Linked DNA regions of Rhinolophus ferrumequinum. The protein of the gene in region 2 purifies or fractionates together with the protein of the main gene of each other region. This does not show direct contact. Links are inferred from orthologs where the notes say so. Each region holds a gene or a part of one and is shown on either strand. Other genes may lie near its edges.

Region 1 (7,798 bases), on a different chromosome or scaffold from region 2:
TGCTGTGGAAATGCTGGTTCCTTAAATATTAAACGTGGAATTGCCATGATTCAGAAATTCCAGTTCTGGGTAGAGACCCAAAGAATTGATAGTAGGGACGTGAACAGGTATCTGTACACCAATATTCATTATTCACAGTAGCCAAAAGCAGCATTATTCACAGTAGCCAAAAGATGGAAAACAATCCAAATGTCTACCAACAGGTGAACGGATAAACAAAATGTGGTATATTCCTACAATGCATACAACTCAGCCTTAAAAAGGAAGGACATTCTGACACATGCTACAACGTGGATGAATCTCGAGGACATTATGCTAAGTGAAATAAGGCAGACACAAACGTAAGATTCCATTTCTATGAGGTACCTGAAGTCGGCAAATTCATCGAGACAAAAAGTAGATTGATGTTTGCCAGGGCCTCCTGGGAGGGTGGGGACATGTTTAATGTACACAGGGTTTCAGTTTGGGAAGATGGAAAAGGTTCTGGGGATGATGGTGGTGATGGTTGTACTACAATGTGAATGTATTTAATGCCACTGAACTGTATTCTTCAAAATGGTTAAAATGACACATTTTATATTATGTATATTTAACAACAAATTGTGCAAAAAAGATTATTCAACACCTGCAAAATTCTATCACTCTATCAGAGTAGGGAATGGACTATGCCGTTTGCTTTTAGCAACGCAGTAGTTCTATCAGAGGGAAACTTGAAGGCTGTTTGGATCTAGAGAAGGAAACTGTTTAGCGAGAAGCTGGAACACATGGAGGTACAAATGAACAGTCACCTGCCAAATGTTTACCTTTTTCTTATGAATATAGCTTGAATATTAAACAAAGGCACAATTTCTGAGGTGGTGCTCTCGCCACCACAAACTGCAGGGCAACTATTCAGGGCTCCTGGTAAAGCAGCCAGGTACTAGTTGGAGGTGCAGGAGGGTTGGGGGACTGCAGGTAACTCCAGGGGTTACCTGCACACACCCATTACTTAGGGGACATCTACACTGGTCAGGACTCCGATTTCTTTAAGTCCTAATGCAAACCTTCAAATAAAGCCATTAAAAATGAAAACACACCAGATAAACACCTGGCGATTTAATACAGCAAAGGAAATCCTTTGTGTTTGAATGTATTGCCGCCAACCAAGCGTCTCAATTCTGGACTATGGGAAATTTGTTACTCACAAGTTCACAAGTTTACTTTGTGAAAATATTCCTCTCCAAAATGAGTAACATGTCAATATTGTAATGATGGAGAAAGAATTATAATAGCACTTGAAAAAGTTAAACCTGATTTCCTCCCTATTTTTTATTTTAAACATCACTTTGTAATAAGCATGTATGCTAACAGATCTTTACATTCCTTTTCTCCTGTCTGGGGCTTTTTTCCCAGAGGCTCTGTCTCCCCCAAACCCCTCCTTTGGGTACTCAGGAAGTCTCCTTTCCTCCAGGGAGCTCTCGCACTTGACTTGTAGGTTGTTTGTGCTTCTACCCAGTGTCCCCATAGAACCCTGTACTTCTTCATGGCTGCATTTAGCGTTTATTATAAATGTGTGTTTGATCGGCCATCATCCACTCCCTCTAGATTATGTGCTCCACAGTGGGGGACTGCTGGGGCCTCCCCAGGCCCTTGCACAGACAGGCCTTCAATAAATGAATCCCTGATGAAGATATTAGCAAGGAAAGCTGTAAAAAGTGGGTTACAGGCCAGGGTGAATGAGTACATTTTTATGCCACCTAGGATTGTTCATCATCCCTTTCACCTGCATTTGAACATTTTTCTACAATGTATAAGTATTATCTGAGTAATCACAAAAGTTACCAAGGAAACACGAGGAGAGATGACTAACAATAAAATCATTGCCAATGACATCTATTAATGGCATGAGTTCAGACAACAGAGCACTTCTCTTCCTTAAAACAAATGCAGGGTCTCTAGCACATAAACGCCTTTGGTAAATGTATCAACTTTGGGGAAAGAAAAAAAGTTCCATTTGTTCGAACCAATTTGCTCTTCTCAGCTACGGTCCTCCAACATACGGCCTCCATTAAACCAACTTTTGGGAAAGAATCTGTTAAGCTCATTCAACCGAGCGGTTCGTGGTTCTAAGGCTAATTTAAGTTGCATTGCTGCTTGGAGATGCTGCACGAGGGAACCCGAAGGACTTTGGGGCAATAGGCGCTGAGTGGAGGGGCGTCGGGGGCAGGAACTAGTGGCCACCCTGCACAGCTTCATCCTCTAGGCCACAAGCCCCAAGCCTCAGGACGTGCGGGGTCAGAGCTGCATCCCGAGGACCTGAAGGAAAGCCATCACTAGTTGGGACGGTGTGGCTCCTTTGGGCCGAGGACAGGCCGCGCAGAAAGTTGGTTTCTTATTCTCTCCCAGCCCCAGGTTACCGGGAGCTCTGCCAGCATCGCCCACCTCTCAATCCGGTCTTCCGCCGGGGCTCACACAGCCACGCGGCCCTAAATCGGACTTGGACTGCACCAGATGTGGCCATCATCTCGCGCTGACCATTCTGGACGCCGCGCGCGGAACCCCTAAGCCTTGACCTACCCGCGAGGGGCCGCGAGAGAGCGGCCGAGACCGGATTTCCGGACGAAAATAAGCTGGGAGGGCACGGGATGGGGTCCCGCTCGCCTAGTCGTCGCCCTCTTCCTGGCCCCCGTCCTCCCACCCCACCGCCCGGTCCCAGCCCCTTCCCGTTCCCGCCCCGTCGTCGCCCGCCTCCCGGGCCCCCCACCTCCAGCACCACCCGAGAACCTTCTCGGCCCCGCCTAGTCATCGCACTTCTCGGGGCTCCCGGCCCACCCCCCGACGATTCACCCACCTCCGACCCCTCACCCCCCAGCCCCCGGCCGCCCTCGCCCCAGACCGCTAGTACCTTCGCGGGGCCGCAGCGCCGCCTCGCGTTGCCAGGACAACGGCTGCTCACGGAACACGAAAACAGCCGAAGATTAGCGACGCGGACGCCGAGCCCACCCGAAGCTCCCCGAGAGGCCGGAAAGAGTCGAAGAAGATCGGGAGTGTCCGTGCAGCGCGGAGGGCGAGATTTCTCTGCTGATCCCCGCCAGCCTCGAGCTCCGCGGTCCTGCGGGGCAGCTTCCCCCCCAGCGTAGCGACGGTCAAGAATCAACAACGCTAGCTCGCAAAGAGGGGCTAAGAGGCCAAATGATTTATAAAGTCACTTACCGTTCTGCGCAGAGAAGGGAAGCTGGTGAAATTCTTCTAGGGGTGATGGCGATGCAAAGCCTGTTTTGCGACCCGTTCCCATAGTTATACCTTTCCAACCGCGTTGATTCATCAGGAAGTGGAGGAAAGCAGCAGAGACTATGGTGGAGAAACGGAACATCATTTTATTTAAGAATCTCTCTTGTCTGACTACTCTTATTGCTCGATCTTCTGGACTCCAGGCTGTTTCTATGCTCTGCTTGTCTGATCTTAAGGAGCAGGAGTTGGTTCAAGAGTATTTCTGAGAAAAAGCAATTCAATTGATTCAACATACTTCTTGAAGTTATTAGGTAATTTATGACATGCATATGCGTTCAACGCTTTGGGCGCCCTATGGATGCCTTTGATGAGATAAATGGTAGCCACTGACTGGTACGAGTTCATCCCATTAGGTAATGGGATGGGTTGGGTAACCTGATTAGGTTTGGGTAACCTGATTTCTTGGCGGCGGACTGTATTCCAAAAGGCATTAGCAACACGCGCTCTGACTTTACGATCAGTGTGGTTAAACTAACTTTGAAATTAACTTTGAAAAACAAAGCAAATGTCATTTTAAAAAGTTACTATAGCAAAAGGTAGCAAAAAGGTCCACATGATTAAATGAAAATCAAAAGGAAAATGTGGATACTACTGGATGAGACGGAATTGGTGCCAGCATACAAGTAAGATTCTATTGTTAAAAACACCCTTTTCATAAACACTAGAATTTTTTTATTGAATAAATTTGACATTTACACAAAATAAATTTGTGTAAATTTAGGGTATACAGCGTGATCTATATATTGTAATAGCTCATATAGTTTATTCCATTACTAATTGTAGTACAATATTGTCTATATTCATTATAGTGGTCATTAGATCGCTATGGCTTCTTTTACTATTTCATACAAGTTTGTATCCTTAAACAACTTCACTCTTATTCCCTCCCCATAAACACAAGAATTTAAGACACTCCTTTACCTCCCTAACGAAGAAAAAGGGCCTAAATACTCAGCACCACCCACTACGCTAAAGAGCTTCAAAAGCACACGCTAAATAAAGGGTGTGTTCATCTGCCTCAGTTGCACTCTTACACTTTTTCTTTCGCGCCAGATTCAAGATTCGGAGCTGAGGCGGCGTTTTCTTCTCACGCATCCGTCAACACGTCCCCAGCCAATCATAGCCCTGGCGTTGATTTTATTGGCCGTCGATCCACCAATCCAGAGAGACGTACCAGCCCGCAAGGACGCTAGACGGCGTCACAACATTACCCGCGTCGCAGTCCCTCCTCCCGCCCCCGCCCAGCGTCCGTGCGTGCAAGCGCGCTAGCTCGCTGCTGGCCAATGGGAGCGCCTCTAGAGGGGTGCGCCCGCTGAAAACTTTGGGCGTGCTCGTCCCCGCGCTCGTCGCCCCTCCCCGGTCCGCTGCCCGGGCCCCGCCCCGCGCACCACCTCTGCGGTCTCCGCCGGCCGCCGTAGCCGGAACTGCTGTTGAGCGCGGCTCGCCGGGTCTGCGGGAGGCTGCGCGGCTGCAGCACCGGCGCCGGCAGCCCAATCAGCCGCACCCCGGCCGCGGAGGGAACGTGCCGGGGCTACGACTGTTGCTCGGCGACTGTACCCGAGGCGGCAGTACCACATCGGAGTCGCGGCCTCGCTGCAGCCAGCGCTCGGGGCCCGGGGCTGCCCAGCCCGGCCGGATCTGCGGGCGCCCGGGAGGCCCCCGGGGGGTCCGGGAAGCCAGGCTGCTGCGAGGCATTGATGAAAAAGGTGACCGGAGGCTGGGACTGGGAAGGGATGGGCCACGTCGACCGGCTGTCACGGGAAGGCCGGGCTCCAAGCTGAAGCAGGGCTGCGGGGGAGCGGCCTGCATCTTTGCGGCGGTGGTTACGCACGCGGTGCTTTGTCGGAGCGATTCGGGGGAGCCCGGAGCGAGAAGTGTTGCGTTGACAGCGCGCTTTGTGTGCAGCCAGAAATCGGCCCGAGAGGAAGGGTTTTGCTTTTCCTTGCCCGAAACGTGACAAACGGTGTCGAGCCGGGATTGGGCTGGAGGTGATTCCACCTCTGCACGATGAGGAAGTGAGGTGGGAGGTTTTCGGTAAAAGGTTTTCAGTCCCCGTGTTTTCCTTTTCCCTGAGGGGAAAACTCTGAACTGTGTTCGTATCCTTTTAATTTTGAAAACCCACGCCCTTCAGTGATCAGTTTGTCTTCCAGTAGTCAACCTTGCAATCGGGCAGGCTGCTTCTGTTGTGGCTGATGGATGCTCTGCCTGAGCCCTGGGTTGACTGTGGGTCGCTTGGGGACGCCAGACCCCTGGAGGTAGGGTTTCCCCACATTATAACCCGGAGCAAGGCCTTTTGAGATGTTTTCAGGTATCTTAAGGAGAAATGGATAGGATGAGCAGTGAATAGTGAGAATGGCTGTGCAATGAAGTTCTTTACGTTTGCATCTTTGTCTTGCATCGGTCTATTCTTGGGGCAGTCTTTTTTAAACTAGCATGAATTCAAACGTGTAGGATCCCTTACCGCAGACGAAAATTGTGCAGATCATTTTGTGACAGGACGTCAGAGCAGTCAGAGGTCTTGCTGTGGTTTTTCGCTTGATTCCAAATCTTTCTCCCGAGAGGTCCTTGGCCCGGTTACTGTATTTTGTTGTCAGCCTTGATGCCTTGTTCTGGTTTTTCCTTTTAAATGGAAAGGTCATGGTCCTTCAGCAGTTGTGTTGAGCTTGTCAAACACACTTTACTTTGGGCACAGCATCAACACCTGTTGAGGACTCGTTTCTCTTTCTTGCTTCCTCGCTTGCACACGTTATTATTTCTGGGCTTACCCTGGTAGATAAGTACCTGATTCTCTTCCTTTATTTTTGAGTGGGTCAGCTTTCTGGGGGTGCAAACATTTAAAGAGTCATCGCTTTTTGTTGTCGTGACATTTCACACGGCAGTGAGTACCAAAGTTAATGCAAGAAGTGCATTAATGGTTACCAAGAGTTTTCACACAGTTCTCTTCTACCCAGCCTTGCATTTGGACCTGGACGTAACTGTGCTGTGTCCCTTTCAGGGTTGGCCCCAACCTGTTCAATGCAACAGGCTCCTTTGTTGCAAAAAAACATTTTTATTTCGTAAATCCCCGTAGCAGCACACATCTCCCATCCCGGGAAGCAGGATTCCCAGAAACCCCAAGCTTATTATTCTTTATGTCTGTTTAAAAATAAGCAGGCGGACAGGCAGCCGCGGGCCACTATGGAGTTCCCTGTGCACGCAGGACACTCGGCGCCTCTCCCCTGCCGGGGTGGATCCGAGGCCCTAGACCCCGTTCAGGGGCCAACTTCGGGGGCCGCCGTGCGGGGCAGGTGCGCGGGCCCGGAGCCCCGCGCGTTTTGAGGGGTGGGGAGGGGTGGGGACGGGGGGCGCGGGCGCCGAGGCCCGGCCGGCCCAGGCAGCGTGGGGAGCGAGGCCAGCGCGCAGGCTGCTCGCCGCGCAGGCCATGAGCCGCGGCCCCTCCGGGTAGGTGGCTCTGGGCCGCGCCGCCGGGACCCCGGGACCCCGGAACCCGAACCTGGAACCTCAGACTCGGATCCCTCCCGACCCCGCCGGGCTGGGGCGCCGCGCGGGCAGGGCCGTCCGGGCGCGGCCACCGAGCTGCCGCCCGCCGCCCCGGCGCCGCTGTGTCCTGGGCCCCGGGGTCCGGCCGGCGGTCCGGGCAGGGGTTCGGGGTCCGGGACGGCGGGCTCGACCGGGCGGCGGCGGGCGGGCCGCGGGAGGACCTGGAACAAACAACGGCGGCCATGTTGAGAGGGAGGCGGGCGGCTAAACTTCGCGGCGGCTCCGGGCCGCGCCGGCCTCACCGGGGCCCCTCTCCTCTCCCGCAGGATGACAGTGAAGTTGGGAGACGGCGGCGGCGGGGAGGAAGGGCTCAAGAGGCTGGGCAAGAGGGCAGCCGATGAGGACGCACTGGAGGGAGAGGGGGCCGGCGGCGGGGACGCGGCGGAGGACGGCGGTGGCACAAAGAGGGACGGCAAGACCCCCCGGGGCGGTGGCGGCGGCCCCTCGGCCCCCGCGGGCGGCCCGCAGGCCCCATCCCCACCGCCCGCCTGCCCCCAGGACCAGCACCACTTCCTCCGGTCCAGCGTGAGGCCGCAGAGCAAGAGGCTCAGGAAGGACTCGTCCTGCGCCGGGGGGAGCAGCGGCGCTGGCAGCTCCGGGCCCCGCGGAAAAGGTACGGGGGACCCCAGCCCCTTCCAGGGTGTGCAGTCCGCTCGCCTCCTGGCCTCCACCCCAGTTCCTGATCCCGCTCTCGCATGTGTCCAGTATTCACTTGGGGTCGCACTCTGGAGGGGACGTGCCCCCTTTCTCCTCCAAAGTGGCTGTTTCCTTCTATTTTTAAACTCTGCTAAGAGGCTTTAAGTATCCTTTCTTTGGGCAGGTACAATAGATTCCCGAAGGTTCGGTGTTTTTAATCTCAAAGGATCATTGATGATTTACATGGTAGGCTCTTTTACACAGCAGACAATAGTTTAGAAATGGAGAGAAAAAATACCTGGGGTCTCTCTTTGCCAGACCGTGGAAATACAACAAAGGAATGGGTTTTTGC
Region 2 (7,231 bases):
AAGATAAAATGTTTCTTTTTCATTTCTAACTAATAGGACAAATGCCAAGGAAGGGAATTCCCAAATCAAGAGATGGGAGAGCTGGCATTAGAGAGAAGAAATGCTGAATACTAAATCTGTGCTCATTAAGTAATCGCTAACTCTTAACAGAGCATTTCTTCAGATTTTTAACACCTACCTCTCCAGTCAGAGTTGAAAAATTCTTGCCACTGAGGTAATTCTCAGCTTGAGCTGACTCCTGTTGAGCTCGGCGACCCATCTTGGCCCCCTGTAAAGAGAAATGAGGGACACTGCTGACCCAAATGTCTTTAAGCAACGACGAGGACAAGAATTCTGGGATGGTAAGCAAGGATTGAATTTACAATGACGTGGTGGAGGATGGGGTTTGAATAACCTGAATATATTCTTAGAAAACGCCCCAAACCTTTAACACAAAGCAACTGAAGTCAGTTCTATCTGATAGAAGAACAGGAAATTCATGGGTTAATGACCATAAGGTCTTCTTTTAACTGCCATAGATCTTTTCTACCCCAGAAAAATGCAGCTAGCTATTCCTCTAGAATGGGCAGAGAACTCACGCCACAGCTCAGGGAAGCATGTGTAAAGGTTCCCATGTTCTTATGCAGGAGTTTAGGAAGGTCAAATTTCAAAGCTGTCGGTTGGTGTGAAAATAGTTATCAAAAAGGCATTTTGGGGAAAGAATTCCTAAATTCCATGGCAACTGCCACCAGAGAAATACAGACAGTATTTGCTTTGACGTATACACTAATTGGATTTCCACTTACAGACATTAAAGAAAATCTCTTACAAGAATTTTGAGACATCAGCTTTGGAAATCAGAACACTTCAAATTCTGAGTCATCAAATGAACCATTTACAGATTCCCAAAGTCCTCCTAGGGTAGAGGTTGTGTGCCTCAAATGCTTTCCAGCACATAAACAAAACTTTATTTAAGAACACTAGTGGGTGGTGAAATACTTATATTTTCATTTGTTGGCTTTAAAAAGCTAGCATAATATAAACACTTTTAGATCTTCTGAGATGTAGCTTTATTTCATTCTCATAATAACAGAGACTGGGACTGATATCATTTTACAAATGAGGAAACTGGGGCCCAGGAAGGTAATTAAGTGGCAGACATAAATCTAAGAGCAAAATCTTCTTGTCTTCAAATCTTGAGTTCTAGCCATTATACCATGATGGAATTTCAGTTTAAAATGTTCCAAGAACGGACTGCACCAATAAATTGAGAGGGGTTATATGGGAGCTGCATAAAAACCCTTTATGGTGTGTCTACATTTCAAATTTTAATCCATCATTTAAATTTCAGGGATGGAAACAATTTTTCTGATAATAAGTGGCTCATTTTCTACCCAAGGCAGATTCTATTCCTTCATCCGTGGTAGCTCTTTTCCATTTATCATAGCATTGGGTATCTAAATACAGCATACTACACACAATGGTTGTGCTAAAACAAAAATTCAATGATCTTATCTCTACATGCTGTTTACACATGGTTTCTCTAATAATTAAGTATTTGAAGGTTTTAAACTTTTTGAAGACCCTGTATAAATTCACAGGTATGACTAGTAGAAAAACTACTATCTGATTTTATATATTTTAAATGTATAGTCTGTTTATGGTCCATCTTCCCCCACTGGAATGTAAGCCATATGAGGGAAGGGACTGTATTTTATTCACTGCTATATCCCCAGCACCTAGGACAATGCCTGATACACAGAGGGGCTCCATAAATATTTGTTGAAAGAATGAAGAACTAAGCAGGTATTAAATAGGTACATCCTTAGGTACTAACAGAAAAGCCTGGAGACCTAATATTCCCCTTGGTCAGTCAAACAACCTGCTTCATCTTAGAACAATTTGCAGGATCCTGTCCTTCAGATCTCCCTCAGAGAGGTGCTCCTCTCTGGTACCTTGGAGGACAGTCAGTGCTATCAGAGGACTTCAAAGCACTTAGATTCCACAGCAGAAACTAAAGATCTGCCAAGAGGCTCAATCTTTCAGTAAATGTAATCTTGACAATTTTAAAGGTAAAAAGGCTTGACGGGGCTATGGTGGAATTAAAACAAAAATCACTGAACTTGGGTATTGAATCCAGGTAGGTTAGTTACTGCCTCTACAAGCCTGGGTAAACCACAGCTGCAGAACAGCAGCTGCTAACCTCTTCTAATAACTTAGCAACTCCCAGGCACTGTGTCAAATGTTTTCCGTGCATTATATCACTTCATCTTCACTGCAACTCCGGAAGTAGACATCAACATCTCCATCCTGGAGATAAACCTAGGTCCTGAGAGGTTAACTTTCTTAAAACCCACGCGACAACTTTATATTCCATTTGACCTCTGGGCCTCAGCACCTCCACGTTATGAGTCTTGATTTCCTTACCTATAAAGCCCGTGGGGGTCAAAGGCAACAAGGTCCCTCCCCGTCTGCCTGCCTGCCTTCCAAGCATAAAACAGTGCGGTGTGTAGGTGAACTTCTGGCATGAAAAGTCCGAAGGGAAAGTTCTAGGATGGCTGCAAGTGCGACCCTGGCCGGGGCCCCCCTGCAGCCACTCTCAGAACTATACTTTCTAGGGGAGTTCGGCCCTGCGGCTCCAGAAAGCGGAGAGAAGCCGGGAAATTTCCCACTCGTCTCAGAGGCCGGCGGGGCTGGGATCTGTTTTTCATTTTTGAGGATTTACAGAAAGCAAAGGCCAGGCCAGCAGCAGCGGAGCCCCCCGCAGCCCCGGGGGCGGGGCGCCCCGGCTGAGGCCTCGCCCCAGCGCGACTCCGGGCCCGCCCGCTCCGGCCGCTCGGGGCGAGCCGCGCCGAGGCGCCTCCGGGAAGCCGGGGCCGCGGGGAGCGCTCCTCCCCACCCGCCCAGTCCTGGCCCCGACACCCGCGCCTCGGTCCTCACGTAGGTGGCTGAGCCCCGGCGCCGCTCTTCGCCGAGGTCCAGCAGCAGGTCCTCCATCTCCGCGGCCGCCTGACGTCACTTCCTGGAAACCAAGCAGCCTAGTGGCGTCCCTGACCACGGCTCCGCCCTTCCGTCCCAATATTTAAAGTTAGCCGCGTTGTGCCCGGATTCTATGTGCCATCCTCCAACTTAAATATTTCCTAAATCTGCCTCGCTTGACTTCCGGAAGAAACCTCCAGATATTAAATCCCGCTAAGGCTGCTCCTCTGGGGCGGTGAAAAACTGTTAGTCTTTTTAAAAATACGTTAAGTTATTAAGTGCACAGCACCACTATTAATAGTAGCAATTATTCTGATCCCTCCCATTTGTATAGCTCTTTGCAACGCACCTAGGACCTTCACAGTTATTAGCTCGTGTGAAAGGCATAACAATCTTGTGTGGGAAGCAACATAAGTTCTATTATCTCCATTGGACAGATGAGAAAACAGGCTACAGGGGGTCAGGTGTTAATAAATGGTTTATAACGGAAAATGCAATATACATAATCTCTGCCTTCAAAAAATTTAGAGAGGCTGAACTAACACATGAAGTACCTGAATAGTAATAACTATCAAAAGTCAAGTAATTCCTCCAACAACTCCATAAAATGAGCAGCAGTAATATATCTATTGAACAACTGAGGACACAGATGAAAAGAGGTGGCTTGAGGAAAATCACCTGAGTGTTAAGCAGCAGACCCAGATGGCTGTCTGACACCGTATTATTGGAGTATTTTTCTCCAGCACATATTCCTGGGTGCCAGCCTTTCTCCTAGGCCAGCAGAGTAAGATGGCCTGCAAATTCCCAGTGTGGGGGAAGGAGAAGCTTTCCTCTACTCTTCTAGCTTCTTTCAGCTGGTCTAATAATCAAATCAACATGAGACAGATTAACAAGAGAAAATAACCAAATTTAATTACATACTTAAGTATGGGAACCCCATATACATGGGCAAGTCAGAGACCCGCCACCTACATGAGAAGTTCAGAGATGAAGAGGGAAAAGGAGGTACATGTGACATTTTGAGCTAAGGATAAAGTAAGGCACATTGAGGCTTTAGAGGGAACAAATGTCATTTGCAGGACAATAAGAAGAGCAGGTGTTCAGTAATTAGAGGTTTGCCCTGGCCTATAGATAGACATAGTAGACATAGATATAAAAAGTTATTTCTGGTGATAACTCTTATTATGGGCAAGGCCTCTAATGTAAATTCTTTAAGGGAGAGATAAAAGTTTGTCATGAGACCACAGGGTCTTGACTGTTTTCAGCTCAAAATAATTCACATGCCCAAGTGACACATCTTGGGGAGGCCTGTTTTGAACCCCTTCACCAGCCTAATGGGGCGAGTGAGTTGAGTCTTCATTGACTCTACATATAAGATCCCCAAGTCGACACCATTGTCTGGGTCTCTGGTACTGGTCAGCGGGGACTCCCAGACGACGGGCTCATGGCACTGAAAGTGAGCAATGTCTCCAGTATTACACTGGCAGGAAGGCCTAGATGGCCACCGCTTCAAAGCGAGGGCATGGAAGTGGAAGTGGAAGTAGCAATCCTAAAACTGGATTGCAAGCATTTCTTGAATACTCAGTAAATTGCTCAGTTCAACCATTCATCCACCTATATTGACTGGAGAGGACTGTGCATTTTAGCACCCCACAGCACAATGCCGTTGACAGTCACAGCATTGCTTGGATGTCAGAAGAGTTGAGGTCTCATCCTAGCTCTACTGACAACTACCTGGGGAGCCAGGCAGAGCCTCTCTGGACCTCAGTTTCCTCTCTTGTAATTATTCTTAGAGATTACCCCAAAGATCGTTTATTCACTAACTCTGATTCTCACTGAGGATACTCTTCGATTTTAATCTGAAGAAACATTCATTGCTAAAAATCCGAGATGGATAAAATATAGGCTCTGATGAGTTCCTTGTTCCCTTCTTTCTTGGCACCAGAAGAGGAAGAAGGAATCAGTCTTTGGATTTTTTTCATTTCTTGTGAGCTCATAGCCATACCACCACCAACTTATAACCACTTTCCAAACCTTCACTCCTACTTCTTCCCCAACTTCCTGAAAGCAAGAGGTGATCAACGCTCACTCTGGACAGAAAGAAGCCCCAGAGTAGTGGCTTCCAAAACTTGCTGGACGCCAGATTCACCTGTGAAGTTTGTTAAAAGTACATATGCCAGGGCCCCATCCCGGGAGACTGATTTAGTAGAGGTGGAGTCCAGAAGAAAGTACCTTCGATAATTTTCCCTCCCATTTTGCAAGTTTGCTTAAAAGCCTCAGTAAGCCCTTTGCTGCTTTAAAACTGCAACATCTATTTTAAATTGCAACCACCACCACCGCCCACCCCCTCCACCCCTCACCCCCACCATACACACACTTCTTATCCTTCTTCCCTGTTTTGTTTTCTACCATGGCACTTACCCTTTATCATACTACATCATTTACATATTTATTTAGTTGATTGCCTTCCCCACTGCCCCACCTCCACTTCTAGAGTGTAAGCTCCATTAGGCCAAGGGTTTTGTTTGTTTTATTCACCTGCATATCCAGAGAGCCTAAAACAGTGCCTGGTATATAGTAAACACCAAAAATATTTGTCAAAGGATGGCTGAATTCCAGAGGCAGTAAAGCATAATAGTTAAACTCATAGACTCTTGCAATAGACTCCTCAGTCCAAATCTCAGTGTTGACACTGGTTATAAGACCTTAGGTAGATTACTTTTAAGTTTTCTACACCTGGGTTTTCTCATTTGTTATGCAAACGACAATAATGCCTACCCAAACTAGAGAGCTTATGTAAAATATCACCTCCACCACTCCAAGCAGTGGACTTTTAAGCTGCTCTGTGCCTCAGTTGCCTCCAGTGTAAACTGATCAACCGTGGTCTGGGGACGCAGTGAACATTCCTTCAGTTAATGGCCTAGGAGCCAGGAGCAGGAACCAGACCTGGCAGGAAGGGTCCAGGAAGGCCGGATGAGGTGGCTTGGGGTGGAGTGGAGGGGAGCAGCACTGATTCCCAGGAAAGTGATCCATTCAGGAGCAAGTCTGGGGGTGGGGGGGGGGGGGACCGGTGGAAGCGACGTGTCTTGCCCTCCCCGAGCTTCTGGGAAAATACCTAGAAGCTTAGGCTGAGACGAGGAACGAAAGAAAAGAGAAAACTTCCCCTCACCCATCTGGGAAATGGGCTCCTGCCAACTGCTGACTTTGCGCTCACTGGCTCAGTTCCCTGCGGAACCCCCGGCGGGGAGGGAGGCTGCGAACATCTGGAGGACATTTCTGCAAAAGAGCCGCTGCAGAGCAGGGCTCGGGGGAGGGAGAGTTGCACTTGTACGCACGTCGGGCCGAGAGGGAGGCTACTCCCCCAGGCCTTCAGGCTTGTTTTCCTCCGCCTTTCTTGCAGCCCCTTCTCCCCAGCCCCAGCCCCCAGCCCCCAGCCCTCCTCGCCTTCCCGGCTCCGACTCGCGGAGCCTCGGTCACTGACGGCCTCGCCTCGCCAGAGGGCACCCTCGATCTGCAGAAAAACGCCACCATTTTCAGTGCCCCTGGAGCATCTCCAAGCTTCAGCAGGCTGCCCGACTCCAATCTTGTCAATGAAGAATCGTGGCCAGGATCGCCGCGGAGCTGAACCCAACTCCAAGCCCGCAACTAGTCCGGGCATCGCCCCAACCGAGGGTGGCACGGCCGCCCCTGCCCAGGCCCCGCGCACGCCCGACCCTGCACAGTATCGGGCCTGGCCCGGGAAGGAGTGAGACTCGCGGAGGAGAGGGACAGACTGACAGCTGGAGAGGGCGAAGGAGTTGGGGGAGAAGCAGGGAGGGGATTCATCGGAGTAACTTTCCAGAAAAACAGTCAACGTGTAGCAGGAGTGACTCCAAGAGGGGAAAAAAAGTTCAGTTACCACGTCGAACTAGAGGACTCGCAAAGTATTTTTCAAATGGACTCGGCTTTTCCTGTGCCTGTTTAAAACATTAAAATTGTGCAGCAAAAGAGGCTGCGTGCGCTGGTCCCTCCCTCCCCCACCCGGGCCAGAGACGTCATCGGAGGGAGGTATAAAATTTCAGCAGAGAGAAATAGAGAAAGCAGTGTGTGTGCATGTGTGTGTGTGTGAGAGAGGGAGAAGAGCGAGAGGGAGAGAGAGGGAGAGGGAGAGGGAAACGCAGGAGGGAGAGAAAGGGAGGGAAGCAGAAAGCCAAGTCCGAGGCAATGAGCAAGGGAGGCGAGAGATAGGGGAAGAAGCATGAGAAAGAAGGAATAACAGCTTTCCGGAGCAGGC
Region 3 (7,377 bases), on a different chromosome or scaffold from region 2:
TCTAAAAAGCTATTACCAGGGAAAAGCTTCTATAAACTCTGGTGCTAATGAAGATAAATATATTACTTTTCCCACCATACCACCATCTCACAACTTCTACCTGAATAGATGGTGTAGTTATGTGCCGGGCATACAACCATTTGGAGTGAGGATAATTTATTTAAAACATTCACTGGTTTCTTACCCTGTTATTGCAAGGTAATTTCCTGATGTTTTTTGCCAGGTAAATTGGATAGGTGCTCCAAGCCAAGTCTTTTCCAGCAGGGAGAAAACACGCTAAAAAATATTTGAAAACATACAATTAAGGGTTGGTCAGAAACGATGTCAAAATATGATCATGGAAACAGTAGGACTCAGGATGGTGAAGGCTTATGTTAGGGTTTATCCAAAAGAAGTCAACAATATAACAAACAAAACCATTAATGAATCAATCAATCAATACAACAAACAAACAAATCACAATCTGGTTGGTAGAATACGGACCTCAATATATTGGGGAAAGCTCATTATAAAACCTTCTTGCTTTTGAAAGTTTTTGAATATTAATTTTATAAAAATGTATAATTTTCAGGGCGGCCGGATAGCTCAGTTTGTTAGAGCGGGAGCTCTGAACAAGAAGTTGCCAATTCAATTTCCGCAGGGGATGGCTGCACCCCCTGCAACTAAAGACTGAAAATGGGGACTGGACTTGGAGCTGAGCTGCGCCCTCCACAGCTAGATTGAAGGAAAACGATTTGGAGCTGATGGGTCCTGGAGAAAAACTCTGTTCCCCAATATTCCCCAATAAATTTTTTTTTTAAAAAGTGCTCTTTTAAAAAAAAAGTATAATTTTCATGTTTTATAAATGTTAAAGAGTAAAATAATTTAAACTTGAATTTAGCTAATTATCAGTGGCATGGATTTTTGGAGACTAACTTTAACAAAATTGCCATTTAAAAAATCTTAACCATGATATAAATACAAAATGTATACACTTCCTTCAAAATTATTTTCTTCATTTACCCAATCGTTATATTTACTTCATGATTAAGTGTTTAATTTGGCTATTGGGCGGACAATGTATCAATCGAAAAATCATTATTTTCACTTCAACAATCTAGAACTGTGGTTATGGAAGCCACAAACCACAGGTAGACTTGAAATTTTATTGCAGACTTGAAATGTGGGTAGACCAAATTTAAATGTGCTTTAAACACAAAATTCACATCGAATTTCAAAGAATATGAAAGAGCGAAAGCAAAATACCTCTGGTAATTTTTTATACTGATTACATGTTGAAATGATAATATTTTGGATTTACTGGGTAAAATATATTATTAAAATGAATTTTACCTGTTTCTTTAAAAATATATTAATGTTGCTACTAAAAAATTTTAATTACATTAGCTCACATATTTATATCAAACAGTGCTGATCTAGAACATCGAGGAACATAGAGCTTGAATGAAAAAAATTTAGATTTTAATATTAGGTTAAGTTACAGATTAAACAGTGATGCCCACATCTAGGCATACTAAGTTTACATACTACACATGGCTTAATAGTCTGAGTGGCAATTATTCCCATGCTCAAAATTAACCATCAATCAATAGGCATTTTGTAAATTAAAGAGATGAAATCCACCTCTATTGAAAACAGAGCTGTGCTATAATCACAGGTGCATCCAATTTCCTGGAGCATGAAGCCGCCCTTAAAGAAAAAAAAGAGTATAAAAGCATCTTACTTTTACAATTTTGTGACCACACTGCCCTGGAACCCCTTCATGCAAGCAAGGGATCCTTAAACTTGAATTTCATTAGCTTAGTGGTAGACTTTCCCTAGCTGTTATCTTACACATTATTTTCCTTCAAAGGAGCTATATATAGTACAGTGGAAAGTACAGTGCAAATGGTGCTAGCTTCACAACCATAAAACCAAGGTTTAAATTTTGCTTTTTATTTATTAGCTGTAGGACTTAAAGCAAGTCGTTTAAATTGCCTCAGCACAGAATTCTCAACTGTAAACCAGGAATAATATCTCCTCACTTATGATAACTTCAAAAATTGTGAAGAGCTTCAGAAATGTGAGTTATGATTCTGTCAGCTCCAATTTCCACACTAATAGCCACAAGGAAGCATTAGGACGTAGAAAATAATTTTTAAATTGAGCTTTCCATTTCTTTGCAAGATCGGGGCAGGGAGGTATTGCTGTGGTAAAGCGGGCAGGTGAAGGGAGCTTTAGCCAGTGGCCCGGGAGTGGGGTTCATGAGAAGCCCAAACCTAGAAACACTGCGTACAGATGACACTCTTGACCGTCTAAACTTGCGTGTGCAGATTTTTCCGTGAATAATACACATTCGCCACCAGGAGATCTGAAAATAGGATCAATCACAAGCAATACAATTACAGATTATTCTTTCAGAGTCTTTTCACTCTTTTTAGGGCGCTGAGCAGTTGCGCGGCTTGCCAGGGGTTTCGCTGTAAGAAATGAGGCAGCTCCTGGCACCCGAATAAGTCCATTTCACCGCGACCCTGCCAACGCTGTCACTGGACCGGTTCCTTCTGCCGGGGGAAATTCGGGGTCTCTTCAGATCCAGTCGGCTCGTTTCCGACCGTGGCGGAGTTCCCTCTTCTCACATTGTTTCAACTCCGGTCGCGATTCCAGAAATAAGAGGCCTTCCTCTCCGCTTTCTCTATTTTCTTTCCTTTCCCCTCGCTCCTTCAACTTCGTCCCCATTTCCTCCTCCCTGGTCACTCCGCTTCCTTCAGCACTAAGAATGAGGGAGGGGGCCATTTGTCCCAATCGTCAAGGGGATGCTCCGCCGGCTGGGAAGGGCTAGTGGTCCCGCCTTCCCGCCCTCGGGGGCTTCGTAAATTACTTACCTTCATCTCAAAGGCTCCGCGGGCCTCGCAATCTAGCGAGAGCGCAGGCGTACATGTTCTCCTCCAAAACGGCTAACGCGTTCTCGTCACCCAGGAGACCACGCTAGCAATGACCAATCAGCGAGCACCAGCTGAAGGGAGTTGCCTCAAAAGGTGCTCCAGGGCGGAAGGCGGGCACGGTGATCACGTGACGCCAGCGAAGCAAGGCCTAAAGACGCCAGCTTTGCGAGTCCTTGCTGCGCCTCGGTTTCCTGTCGGGCTCTGATTGGATAAGACCTGGAGACTTCGCCCGCGTAAGGCGGGCTCTGTGAAAGGCGCCTGCGTATATTTCGGCTCATGGCTAGTAAAAAGCCCAGGGTGACTAGAAAAGAAAGGTGCTGAATGTTGGCACAAAGCGGGAATTGGCTCATAGGGTAAATACTTTTAGTACATGCAAAGAGGGCTTGGGATGAGTATCATCTTTTTTTTCCTCCAGGTTTCTGGGTTAGAAACAATGAGATGTGAGAGGCAGTCTATTCCAAGGTCTTAATAGGCCCACTAAATTGGCCAGCTAAAGTTGGCATGAAAAATGAGCTCTTAAGAACCTGTTTGAGTGGCATAGAATAATGGATCACAAAAATACATGATCACATTAATAGACGGGGAAAAAGCACTTGACAAAATCCCATACCCTTAAAAATACAACACGCATTAATGATAAAAACAAACTAGAAATGGAAAGTAACCTCAAAACAAAAAAGACCTACAAAAAAAATACATAACTAATTAACATCAAACTTAATGGTGGAAGACTATGCCTTCCCCCTAAGGTTGGGGGGAAAAAAAGTCTGTGACCTATTGTCATGCGGGGGTGTCTGGTCCTGCTCCCCGCATAAGAACACAGGATATTGTGAGGCCAAAAAGGAACATCAACAGAGCCATAAATAAGGGAGTCATACCACTATATTCTCACTGGCGGCTGGGTTGGAGACACAGGAAGGAGCCACACAATCCCTAGCCTGCTGTCAGCTTCTTTGCCAACCAACCCCTTCCTAACTGCAACCCACTCTTGCCGGCATAACCACGGGCAGTTCTACCAGTGGCTAATGGCTAACTGATTACAGCTGATGGCCAACTAGTCACAGCTGATGGCCATCTACTACCAGAGCCAGCAAGCACCTTTCCACGTGAGGCAGAGAACCTGGAAACTGCTCTCTGGGACTCTGTCCCCACACCTATAAATGTGGTATATCTTTACATTTTTGTTCTTTTAAAATTTCTTTAAACAAATTTTGTAATTTTCAGTGGACAAATCTTTTACTTATTTTGTTAATTTATTCTTTGGTATTTTGTTTTATTTTTGATACCATTATACATAAATTTTAAAGTTTTTCATTTTTGGATTGTTTATTTCCATTGTAGAGAAGTGTAATTGATTTTTGTATATTGAACTTATATCCTGCAAACTTGCTCAATTGTTAGTTATAACAGTTTTTAGTGGATTCCTTGGAATTTTCTATATTCAATATTATGACATCTGCAAATTTTTTATATTAAGTATTATGACATCTTCCTTGCCAGTCTGGATGGTCTTTATTTCTTTTTCTTGGCAAGAGTGGACATCCATTTAGGAAAGCTAGAACTTACTGATATATTGTACCCATTGTTATTTATTGTATTATAAAATTGTGCTGTTATCTTTTCATTTTTAACATTCACTTTTACCTCAAGTTAAATGAAATTACATAATAATATGGTCAATTTAATGTATTTTCAGGAAATTGGCTTACAAGTTTTGAAGACTTGTGAACATAGTTTTCTTAAAAACCTATTTACTAAACAAAACTGGTAGGTAATGGCCATTGCACATTTAACCTTTAAATATGAGTATTAAGCACACATTTGGATTTTTCAGGGCTTTATTTGTGTGTGCATAGCCTTATAATATGTTTCTATATTTAAATGTTTTTCCATTGTAAAATATGATTCCCTTAAGGACTGCATGGTGTAATAATGAATTGAGCTTGGTCATAAACCCCCAGTTTAAACCTGTTCATGGCATTTATTAGTTCTTTGACCTTGAGCAAATTTTCTCCTTTGAATCTGTGCACACAAATCTAAAATGGGACAGTACCTACCTAATTTGATTTTAGGGAAAATTAAATTATTTAAGAAGAGAAAAAAAGAAAACAAAATCTTGATATCAACACACTTTTCTTTTTGGCCCATTTCCAGTTTTTGCCCCTATATATGCCAGTTTTACTGTGTATTCATAATTATGGTATGTGTGTGAATTTAACACATTTATTTAGGTCCGATAGTAAATATAACACATTTATTAGCCTGCTCAGTCCTGAGCAATAGAAAAGCAACAATCCTAATAAAATTGTTTTTAGTTTTCCCAGACGAAGTAAGTCATCTCTTTCTTCTTCAACTCCCTTCTGTTGCTTTTGGGCTAAATCATTTAGATCATTGGTTCTCTGACTTCAGTGTATCTGATATGTTTAGTGTGTAATAGAATCATCTGGAAGGTCTGGTGAACACAAATTGCCAGCCCCATCCCCAGAGTCTCTGAGTTAGCAGTTCTGGGGTGCTTCTGGAGAATTCGCCTTTCTAACATGTTCCCAAGCTATGCTCATTATGTCCATCTGTGGATTACACTGATCTCTAGTAATTGTTTCCTAAATCCCCTTTGCTTTTTGTCATATGTGTTATACTAAAAACAGTCTATATGATTTTTACATTTAGTTTACAAAGTAACAAATCTTTTCCTAGGGTATGTCTTCTGAAAGTCACTTTTTAATTTATTATTTTTAAGCTGCAAGAAGCATTTGTTATTATTTTATATAAATCAGGGATCCCAATTAATGCCTAGTTTTCTGTTTTTTATTATTCTTGTTTTTCGCATTAGGTTGACAGAATTGGTAGGATTTCAATAGGTGGATAACACAAAAAAGGAATTTAGAAGTGATGAAGTACAGTGGAAGATGTAGACAACGTGATTTGAACCCAGTAATAACTACTTAGTAACTTAGATAATGTACTTAACTTCCGCAGTTTCACTTTTCTTTTTAATTGAAATGTATTTGGTATAACATCGTGTAAGGTGTACAAATTAACAAATGTTAATTTGACACATTTACCTATTTTAATATGGTTGCCATTGTAATGATAATTATCAGCTTCGCTTTTCTTACCTGTAATGGAGCTTAAAAATTAATGGAAATATTTTTCTTTGTGGTAGTCTTTGGGAAATATTTGTATTGTTTGGAAGTGCCTGTGTCCTTACTTGAATGCAAAATCTTTTGTAATACCATATTTGGGAAAGAAGGGAAATCCAGCTTCCCATTCTAAAATTTAAGAAGCAGAACATGAAAGGATCTGGTGTCAGCTTGTTTAGGAGAGATTCATTGAAGAGTTATTCAAGCCATTATACAACCTGTGGAAGAGGGTAATTCCAGAGCGCACAGAGCTATTAATTTTTAAAGCTAGACATGTTAAAGTTGATTGCTTATTTAAGTATAAGGAAATATCTGTTATAGCAATCTTCAGAAAAATAATTTATTTGCGTAAGTATGGCATTATGAAAAAGCATGTTTGTCAGAATCTGCTTAAAAACTGTAAGGATTGCATGAAACTTGTCAAAATGATACTGAAAAAAATGAATAACATAACTTGCTATAATATCAGAAAAATGTTTTTCCAGAGAGCGAGATAGAGAAGAGTTTCCAAGGTGAAGAGAAAGAGGGATAGCATGGCATTAGGGATGGAAAATAAGGACCTTTAATGCTAAATACAGATAAAAGAGTTAGGAAATTTAGATGGAATTCAGGTTTTGGAAATAAATAGATATAACTATAGAGTTTTTCTTATTGCACACTACATTTATAGTAAATGCCAGTATTTGATCATCTTATATTTTTGCCTTTATCATTTAGACTTCCTGACTTTAAAATGATGGCCATTTAAGGAAATAATAATTCCCTACTCATATAGAAATGAGGTCTAATAAGCATAGCAATTAATAACTAGGGAAAGATAGTGTATTCAAAGGTAATATCTGATAAGGGGATCCTAAATTGAAGACATTTCCCTTTGGTTTTCTAACTAATATCAGTAGCTAAAAATATTAATGTCATTTAAAAATTATTAATTGCTATTATATATCATTAATTTTAAACTTAAAATTGAATATTCAACATTAAGCCAATTATTTTTGTCCAGTTCTATGCCAAGCATGACTAGTTGAAAATACATGGCTATGAATCAAATAGCCACGGAAATTAAGAAATTAAAATTAGTCCTGAGTCTATTACAAGTTAATGATTCTTTTTCTCAAGGGGAAAATTTTTGTATTACTTCCCTTGTGTTCATATAGAGTAGTAGTTCTCAATCATATCTGCTATTAGAATTAGTTAGGGCGGAGGTCACTTGGGGTGGCATCAACCCAGATTTATTGAAACAGAATTTCTAAAGATGGAGCCTGGCTCCATCTGTTTTGCTCTCTTTCTTTCTCTTTCTTTCTCATTCATTCTCA
Region 4 (8,005 bases), on a different chromosome or scaffold from region 2:
TAGAAGCTTCCAGTGTCTCACCCTCATTACAGTGCCATGTGGTAAAACAGCAAGTGCCATCTTCTTATGAACCATAAAAGGACTACTATAATTCTTTTCAGAACTGTGATCCTCCAGAGGTCCTGTGACTCATGATACAGTGCTCGTCATTAATGTTTTCACAGAAGTTCTAAGGCAAAGAAAGGGGCAGAGATGACAACCCCATTATCAAGACTCACACCAAGTATTGAGCGGATAAAGACAGCATATCAATCAGCATATGGATAATGTGTCTTCTCTCAGGCATCAGTGGATTTAAGCTTTAACCAGGCCAGGAGAATGTTGCAGGTTTCATTATTAAGAACTAAGGACGTCTGATGAGGCCGAATAGATTCAGCAGTACAAAGAGTTTATTCCTAGTGCATTGACTTAGAGGAAATAGAGCGAAAGGCGATGACAGAAAATTCTTGTTTGAAAGAAGCCTTAACAATTCCACTGCGGAACTACTCTCAAATAGAACTCAGGAAATTATCAAGGCCCTTTGAGTCCTAAAGTCCTCAAATACAGAGAAGCAAGGCAGCTTTAACTACTTCTCTGAGTAATTCAAGCATACTTTTCCTCTTGGTAAGAAGAAACGTTAACCTTTTCTTTTAATGGGGACAGATCCAGAGGAAACAAGAGTTTCCACAGAAAGGAAGACGAGAAGCCAGAAATGGAACTATTCCAAAAAATGTCTGAGTCAGTCTGCTTGGACAGGAAGATCTTGGAAGAAAGGAAATGAATTACTTTCTATCCTTTCTAGGTCTGTATGTAGCCTTCACAATTGGTGAAACACATGCATGTTAGATGTTATCAGGCCTTTACTGTACTTTCTGACATTTGCCAAACATACTGTAGTCACGTATTAGTTAATCTAAGAATTTTTAAGCACTGGCTAAGTCTGTTTGCCAACAATTTGTTGATCTGATGAAACATTTTTAAAAAGGAGAACATGAAAAGGATAACAAGCCTGGCCAAGACAGAAGCTCCAGCTACCACTACTGTTCATAGTTCTAAAGAGAAATCGTGGCATATGGATAAACGACAGATGAGGACTTTCTTAGTCACCTCTGGGTCACAAGGTCACATCATACTGCAAAGTCTCTCTTACCACAAGTTCAATTCTTCATCAGGAACAAGAGGCCAGAGCGAGCTCACATTCCAGCACCAGCCAACCACTGTCATCTCCAGGGAATCTATAATGTCAAATGCCTAGTAGGCTCAACAAAGGTCCTGGGTGTTATTTCAAATTCCAGCTCCAATTCTCACTAAATGTTTCAGATATAGGAAAAATATTTGAAGTTTATTTGTTAATAATTTTTCTACTTTGTTGAAAATAAATCTGCCTCATGGTAAAACAGTCACATAATTCAAAGAAGGAAAAAAGTCACAGGAAACTTAAAAGTTGGATGCTATACTTCACATCGAAAGGTATTAATGCCAAAAACTCTTTCAATGTATTTCATGAAAAACATTAAACACACAACCAGGAGCCAAAAAAAGCAAGAGACATTCCACTCTCTCTCTCAACAACAAATGAGTTAAACAGTAATAGAGGCTGCACTAATATTACCTAGGGCAGGAGAAACATTTGGTGACTCACACATTCCCCTTTGATGTCAATTTCTAAATTAAAGAGCTGGTTTCTTTGGGAAGAAGACAGGGGGAAAACTTTAAAATTATCCCTTGAAACTTCAGGTCCAATAAATTAACAATTCTCAATTTCAAAGTCAATTCCATGTTCCCCAACACACACCAAAATCATAAGTCATATCAAACATCTCGTACCCATGAAATTCACTGCCTTAAATTCAGTCAGTTAAGATTTACTGAGTGCCCACAACTGAAGAAATACCATCTGAATTCAACGAAAACGCTCAATTTTAACTTGACATCCTCCGAGCACCTCCATATTTATACTTGCAAAATGTAGGTTATTTTTCTGTCGACTTGAAAAAAAGTGCAGTGAACAAATTCCACACAGCAGTTATTACGTAAATAAAACCTGATGAAAGAAGAAAATGAGTGTTCTTTACCCCAATGCCTCCTTCGCGACGGTTTTAAATGGTTTAGAATTGTTTAAATACCTATTATTCTAAATATCAGACTAAATCCTTACATGCTAAATCTTTATTTGCCGTGGTAACGGTCTAAAAAGAGGAGAGTAGAGTTGAGGTGGAAGATTTAAATCTTCAGACAATGCCAAAGTTTTAAAGCAGTGATTTCGCGCCGCTCCCCATTAACTTTTCATTAAGCTGGCAAAAAAGAAATTGAGATTTCGGGTCGTTTGACTTCTGGCCGAGGTACAAAAAAGGGACATGGCAGAGAAAGGGGAGCTTTGGTACGTTGCAAGCAAGACAGCCAATCCTGACTAAGAGATAATTACTATAAAGGACATCGAAGCAAAAGAATAGTTTTGCGTTTTCAGCCCTCGGATTCTGTTCCAGAATTCAGCTCTGCCGGCCGAAAGCGATGGCTTTAGAGCAAATTATTAAATTTCGCTTCGATGACCCCGGGACAGACTTCATCCAATCTCATGTATGACACTCCTGGGCGGTGCGTGAGGCACAGGGCTAACGCGTTTTGTGAAAGCGAGGCCCGCAGAGGGCAAGGCGAGCTCACAACGAAAACTCCCCGGAGTTTCCCAAGCAGGGACTGAACACCAAGTCCCTGCTCCCGGTGCAGCCGCCGCTCCCCACCGCTCTCCCGGGAAAAGGGAGGGGTCCTCCGCCGCGGAGGGGAGAGGAGGCTGCAAATCAGTCCCTCCCTCCCGCACTTGAGCCCACCGCCCTGTCCTTCAGAGCTTCCAAAGAGGACCGCCACTGTCTCCCTTCGGCCCTCCGCCCCACTCAAGATGAGACCAGCCACCACCCCTTTCTGACCTGTCCCCGCAGGGTCCGAGTCGGCAGCGCGACGCCTCCATCACCGCAGCTCAGAAAGTGGCCAGCACGTCCAGAACCCGCCACCTACTCCGCTGCTAGGGTGGCAAGCCTGGCCAGCAACCGGCCCCGCCCCCTGACAACCGCACCACGCACTGTCGCCACCGCCTATTGGCCCACGGGCCCGCCGCTCCTCTCTTATTGGCTCTTGCCGCGTTGCGGGAGGGTATCTAAGGAACAGAGGAACCCCGAGTTAAAGGCGCCAGCGCCGGCGCCTGCGCCCGCGCGGGGATGACGCGCTAGTTCTGGATCCCTGTAGAGCTCGCCGAGAGGAGAAGGGGCCGAGATGGAAGAATGTGTTTCCGTCAGCGGCGTTGGCTCCCGCCGCCAGGAAGCCAGTGTGTCGGAGGAGCCGCCCAACCCCCACTAACCGCCACACATGGAACGGCCTCCCCGCACCCCCGCGGTTTGCACACAGAAACCATCCCAGAGCGCTTCCCGAGGTCTGTAATGTTAGGGTTTACAGACTTCTGCCAGCTCCCTCACAGTCGGATCCCTTCCGGACACACCAGAGCCTAACCAGGAACCACACTTGTAGCCTCGCCAGCAGTCATTCCCACTGGAATGCATCTTAGAGTTACCTGCTCTGGCCCTCCAACAGCACAGAACTCCCTCAGCCTCCCCGATTCCAGCCCAAGCTTTTAAGGCATTCCTAGACCTGCTCTACACTCTCCTAAGAGTCTTTACTACCGTGTTAACTGAATATAAGACCTACCCAGAACATAAGCCCCAGTTAAGATCTCAGCCAGATGGATACATTTAGTACGTTATGAAGATGTTCCAGAAGATGACATGACTGTATTTGAATAAATGTAGATTGTTGTACATGAAAAAACAAGACATCCCCTGAAAATAAGCCCTAATGGAGCAAAAATTAATATAAGACCCGGTCTCATTTTCAGGGAAACACAGAATTTACCTATGGACCACCTTCAGACATCCAAACACCTTAAGGAAATCCACTATCTACATCTGTACTCTCGTTTCCAATAAATCTTGTCCTCAACCATCACTTCCTTTCTCTCCAACAACTTACATACAGCATTATAGTCCCTACAAAACATCCTGACAGAAGTTATCACAGATTGAGTTTCGTTTATAGCATTCCAAAGTCAAAGCTGTTTCCACATTGCTTTTGAATTTCTAAGAGGCCTAGAGGTTGGCACAAGTTAGAAAAGCAGAGCGTTGCACTTGCTGGGTCAGCCTCCACTGGCTATGTGACACTGAACATGGTTCATTATCTGTGCTTCCAATTCCCATCTATAACAAACAGAATAATCCTCGTCTACCTGAGACTGGACCTGACACAGAGTAGCTTCTTAAAGCTGAGTGAATGGAGTTGCGTGAGATGCTATTTGTATTGGTCAAAGGATTTTGTTGACCGGGCAGTACTGCACTAACATTTTCACTGCGACTTTCGTCTATAGTCCAATGACATTTCCATGCCACTAACTGGGGCATTTGACTTTACCCCACGAGCTCAGGGCTCCAGAAAGGAAGTTTAGGAAAGCAGATGCACATTTTTCTATATTTTTGTGTTGTTCAAAAATGAATAACAATAGGACATTTTTATACTTTAATCATTTCTTTTAATAAAGTGTCGCACCTTAGCTGTATTTACTTAAAAATATAAATACTGTAATTATTTTCTGTGGATTTTTGACACATTTTGGAGAACTTGAAATCAATCAACGCAGTGAAAAGGTTAATTACAATTAGTATTCTCTGAAAAGTTTCCACATTTATTTATATACATTTTAAACAGTTACCCCAAGAAATCATTTTCCCACCTTATTTCTTTACAGCTTTGGCTGGAAATAAAAAATCGAAACACAGCAAACCTAAGTAACTTACACATGTCCCCTTTACCACCCCTGATCCTACTGTTGCCAAACACGGCTTGCTGCTCTTTCTTCAGCACATGAGCCAAGGTTGCACAGGTGGCAGCTCAACTATAAAAAGTCAGAGCTTGCTTTGAGTTTTTTCATCCATCAAGTCATAGACGAAGCTGCCACTGAGCCTGACAGAGTTGGTACTCAAAAATGTGTAATGAATTATTAGTTTGAATGAGGTGATTAAAGGATAAATGAGTAGTGGTAAAAGCAAACAAGGAAGACCTATTATGGAGGGGGCAGTATTGGCACATACTGGCAGTGGGAATCAGGGTTCTCGAAAAATTTTCTGTGGCCATTTATTTACAAACACATTTTAAACAGTTACTACAAGATATTTAAAAATTTTAAACTGTTAATACAAGAAAAATATAAAGTGAACTGTCTATACACTAAAAATTGTTTATAACAACATACTTAAACAAGCAAATCTGGGAACCGAATTCCCTTATGACTCCAGGGCTCTAGTTAAAATACCTTTCTTCTATTGGTGTTATTGGTATTATTTCCATTTTATTCTACTGATGTGCCCTTCTGTGAGCTGGAAAAGTGACTTTAGCAACTCAGTGAAAACCAGCAATCAATTTCTTGAGATTATTGTCTGAGAAATCTAGTCAGTTTTTCACAAGGAACTGGCTATTGCTCAGCTTCCCTCTCTCCTGGAGGTAAGTAAAGAGGTTTCGTCGTCTCCTCCATGTGACCTTTACCCCATACTTCTCCTCAGGAGTGTCTTTAACCAGAACAGGCCCAGGATCCGGGCTCTCGGGAGTATTAGTGTGAAGGGAGTAGTTTGACAGGCTATTTTCCCTCTGATCTGGGGGAATGGGCCCCTCCTTTCCAGAAGATGACTCTGGGGTCTGGATATCAGGTGCAATGAACACATAAGGTAAGTTTTGAAGTGCATGTGCTGACAGTTCCCCACAGCTCTGGGGACTGAGCATTGGAACTAAGCGCCTTCCGGAAATGTCCTTTTCTGATTGACTGAGGCACTCCCTGGTTAAGGGGATCCCAAGTGTGGCTGAACTGGTAGAAGACTGTGGACTCTCAAATGGTAGCTGTGGAAACTTGGAGGTGGTAGATTTTCGACTTGAATGTTTTGCCTGGTCTCGGTGATGACGTTTCCGTTTCCGGTTGGCTGGGAACCAGCTTTCTGCTGTTCCATCAAACTGAGGTGATACCTAAGGATCAAAAAAAAAGGCAAGGATAGCTAAGTACCAAGTATAAACCTAGGTAGGCAACTACATCTAATGACCAGCAACCAGAATCCTAAATGGGACCCACTATAGTAATGGACACAAAACAAAAATACCTGTCTAATGAATGGAACAGTAATAGAAAGGCATGTAAGATTTGGGCAATCTAACATTTAAGTTTCTACTATCGTGGAGCAAGTATTATGCCTTGTCTAAGCAATCCTGAACAAGTTATATTTATTAAGCACTCCTAAGCAGAGTTTATGCTTTTGCTGTACTACTTCCTTGACTTTGGTAGCTATAGTCTCTTCCCAGGGCTTTTAAACTGTCAAAATATGACCCATGCCATTTCTGTGGGGTTTATTTGAGGTTCAATCTATTAACGAGTAAATAGAGTACCTAAATACTCTATACCTCTCATGAAGCTCAGAAAACAATCTCATTTTTCACTAGTTCTGCCATTTATCCGGCTTTCTCACCCAGGTACTGGGTAATGAAACTTTTATACTGAACTCCTTCAGAGGAATGTGGGGGGAAGACTCCAATTCCAACTAACCTATGCCTCAGTTGGAATTTAGAAAAGAAGATATAGCAGAAGAGATGGCTGACAACAGACAGAAAGAGTATACTGCCTCCTTGTCCCTGCTCCCATGAATCTTATTCTTTGGAGGTCCTGGTTCAGCGAGCAGAAAAGTCAGTATTCTGAGAAGCTTAACAGAGTAAAAGTGAAAGTAGGAATCCCACTGCTTACCCAGGAAGTAATAGTGTTGTGGTCAATGGGCTTGCTGGGTGCCCGCACAGTGTGGGTGATGGGATACTGTGGCGATGCATAGCGGTGTTTGGGGCCCTCTAGTGGCTGTTGGTGGAACAGCAGCTGGGCTTTCTGGGACGTTTGGCGGCGTTTTTTTCTGGGAGGCATCAATAGGTGAATGAAGAGCAGTTAGTAACCACATGGTGCTGGCTGTAGTCAGGTCCGGAGAGAAGCTTCCACTCCAACCCATGCCTGCAGAGAAGAAACAAAAGCTCTTCCTCATACTCGTCCAACCAGTCCCACTATCAACTTACCACTCCCACCTCAAGGTTGTGGGGAGCACAGCTTCCTATACCTACACTACCACCTTAAAACACAGTAGTTTACATTCAACATTTGTTCAATGAACATCTATCGAGCATATGTTAAGTGCCATGCTGGATTTTGGGAATTCAAACATGAATAACCATTTATTCCAGGATCATTTATTGAGTGCCAAGCACTTGCTGGGACTCAGAGGTCAGGCTGTCCCTGTTTCAAAGACTTGAGAAAAATCAAGCGGGATAAGGGGTTAGGCTGACTGAGTGCTATTTTGGACAAGGTTGTCAGGGAAGGCCTACCGAGCTTCCCCGAAAATAAGACCTAGCCGGACCATCAGCTCTAATGCGTCTCTTGGAGCAAAACTTAATATAAGACCAGGTATTATACTATATTACATTATTACATTATATTATACCTGGTATTATATTATGTTATGTTATGTTATACCTGGTCTTATATTATATTAAAATAAGACCGGGTCTTATATTAATTTTTGCTCCAAAAGACGCATTAGAGCTGATTGTCTGGCTAGGTCTTATTTTCGGGGAAACACAGTATCTGAAAAAGTGATATTTGAGCAAAGACCTGAATGAAGAAAGGAGAACAAGCAAACAATAGAAAGATGTGAGCAAAGAATATTCCAGGCTGCAAGAATAGTAAATGCAGAGACCACAAGGTGGGAATATGTCTGACTCGTTCAAGAAACGATAAGGTCAGCATGGCTGAACTGGAGAGTGGTAGATGAGAACCAGTTCATGTGACACAGGGCTTTACAGGCAAGGTTAGGGACTCTGGATTTAATTATTCTTAATGTGATAGGAAGCCACTGACAGGTTCTGGACAGGGCAGTGACATAATCTGACTTATACTTTAAAAAAATAACTTGAGGGG

The links.
Region 1: the proteins of IFT43 (region 2) and IFT140 purify together in Homo sapiens (affinity purification with mass spectrometry; 3 studies listed by BioGRID and IntAct, counting the BioPlex papers as one, with this or other methods). This does not show direct contact. The link is inferred for Rhinolophus ferrumequinum from reciprocal best matches to the Homo sapiens genes IFT43 and IFT140.
Region 3: the proteins of IFT43 (region 2) and WDR19 purify together in Homo sapiens (affinity purification with mass spectrometry; 3 studies listed by BioGRID and IntAct, counting the BioPlex papers as one, with this or other methods). This does not show direct contact. The link is inferred for Rhinolophus ferrumequinum from reciprocal best matches to the Homo sapiens genes IFT43 and WDR19.
Region 4: the proteins of IFT43 (region 2) and TULP3 purify together in Homo sapiens (affinity purification with mass spectrometry; 5 studies listed by BioGRID and IntAct, counting the BioPlex papers as one, with this or other methods). This does not show direct contact. The link is inferred for Rhinolophus ferrumequinum from reciprocal best matches to the Homo sapiens genes IFT43 and TULP3.

Annotation. Positions count from the first base shown.
Region 1 is NW_022680357.1:3,409,287-3,417,084, forward strand, and holds the start of IFT140 (intraflagellar transport protein 140 homolog), read right to left. Parts: upstream 3,015-7,798; 5' UTR 2,885-3,014; intron 2,575-2,884; exon of another isoform or gene 2,422-2,574; intron 1-2,421. Other genes in the region: CRAMP1 (protein cramped-like), read left to right, coding at 7,078-7,423. UniProt on the Homo sapiens protein: Component of the IFT complex A (IFT-A), a complex required for retrograde ciliary transport and entry into cilia of G protein-coupled receptors (GPCRs).
Region 2 is NC_046289.1:22,841,333-22,848,563, forward strand, and holds the start of IFT43 (intraflagellar transport protein 43 homolog), read right to left. Parts: upstream 3,005-7,231; 5' UTR 2,977-3,004; coding exon 2,920-2,976; intron 269-2,919; coding exon 179-268; intron 1-178. UniProt on the Homo sapiens protein: As a component of IFT complex A (IFT-A), a complex required for retrograde ciliary transport and entry into cilia of G protein-coupled receptors (GPCRs), it is involved in ciliogenesis.
Region 3 is NC_046288.1:61,049,560-61,056,936, forward strand, and holds the start of WDR19 (WD repeat-containing protein 19), read right to left. Parts: upstream 3,001-7,377; 5' UTR 2,868-3,000; coding exon 2,862-2,867; intron 277-2,861; coding exon 185-276; intron 1-184. UniProt on the Homo sapiens protein: As component of the IFT complex A (IFT-A), a complex required for retrograde ciliary transport and entry into cilia of G protein-coupled receptors (GPCRs), it is involved in cilia function and/or assembly.
Region 4 is NC_046293.1:87,867,596-87,875,600, forward strand, and holds the start of TULP3 (tubby-related protein 3), read right to left. Parts: upstream 3,010-8,005; 5' UTR 2,942-3,009; coding exon 2,901-2,941; intron 1-2,900. Other genes in the region: RHNO1 (RAD9, HUS1, RAD1-interacting nuclear orphan protein 1), read right to left, coding at 5,464-6,027, 6,794-6,961. UniProt on the Homo sapiens protein: Negative regulator of the Shh signaling transduction pathway: recruited to primary cilia via association with the IFT complex A (IFT-A) and is required for recruitment of G protein-coupled receptor GPR161 to cilia, a promoter of PKA-dependent basal repression machinery in Shh signaling.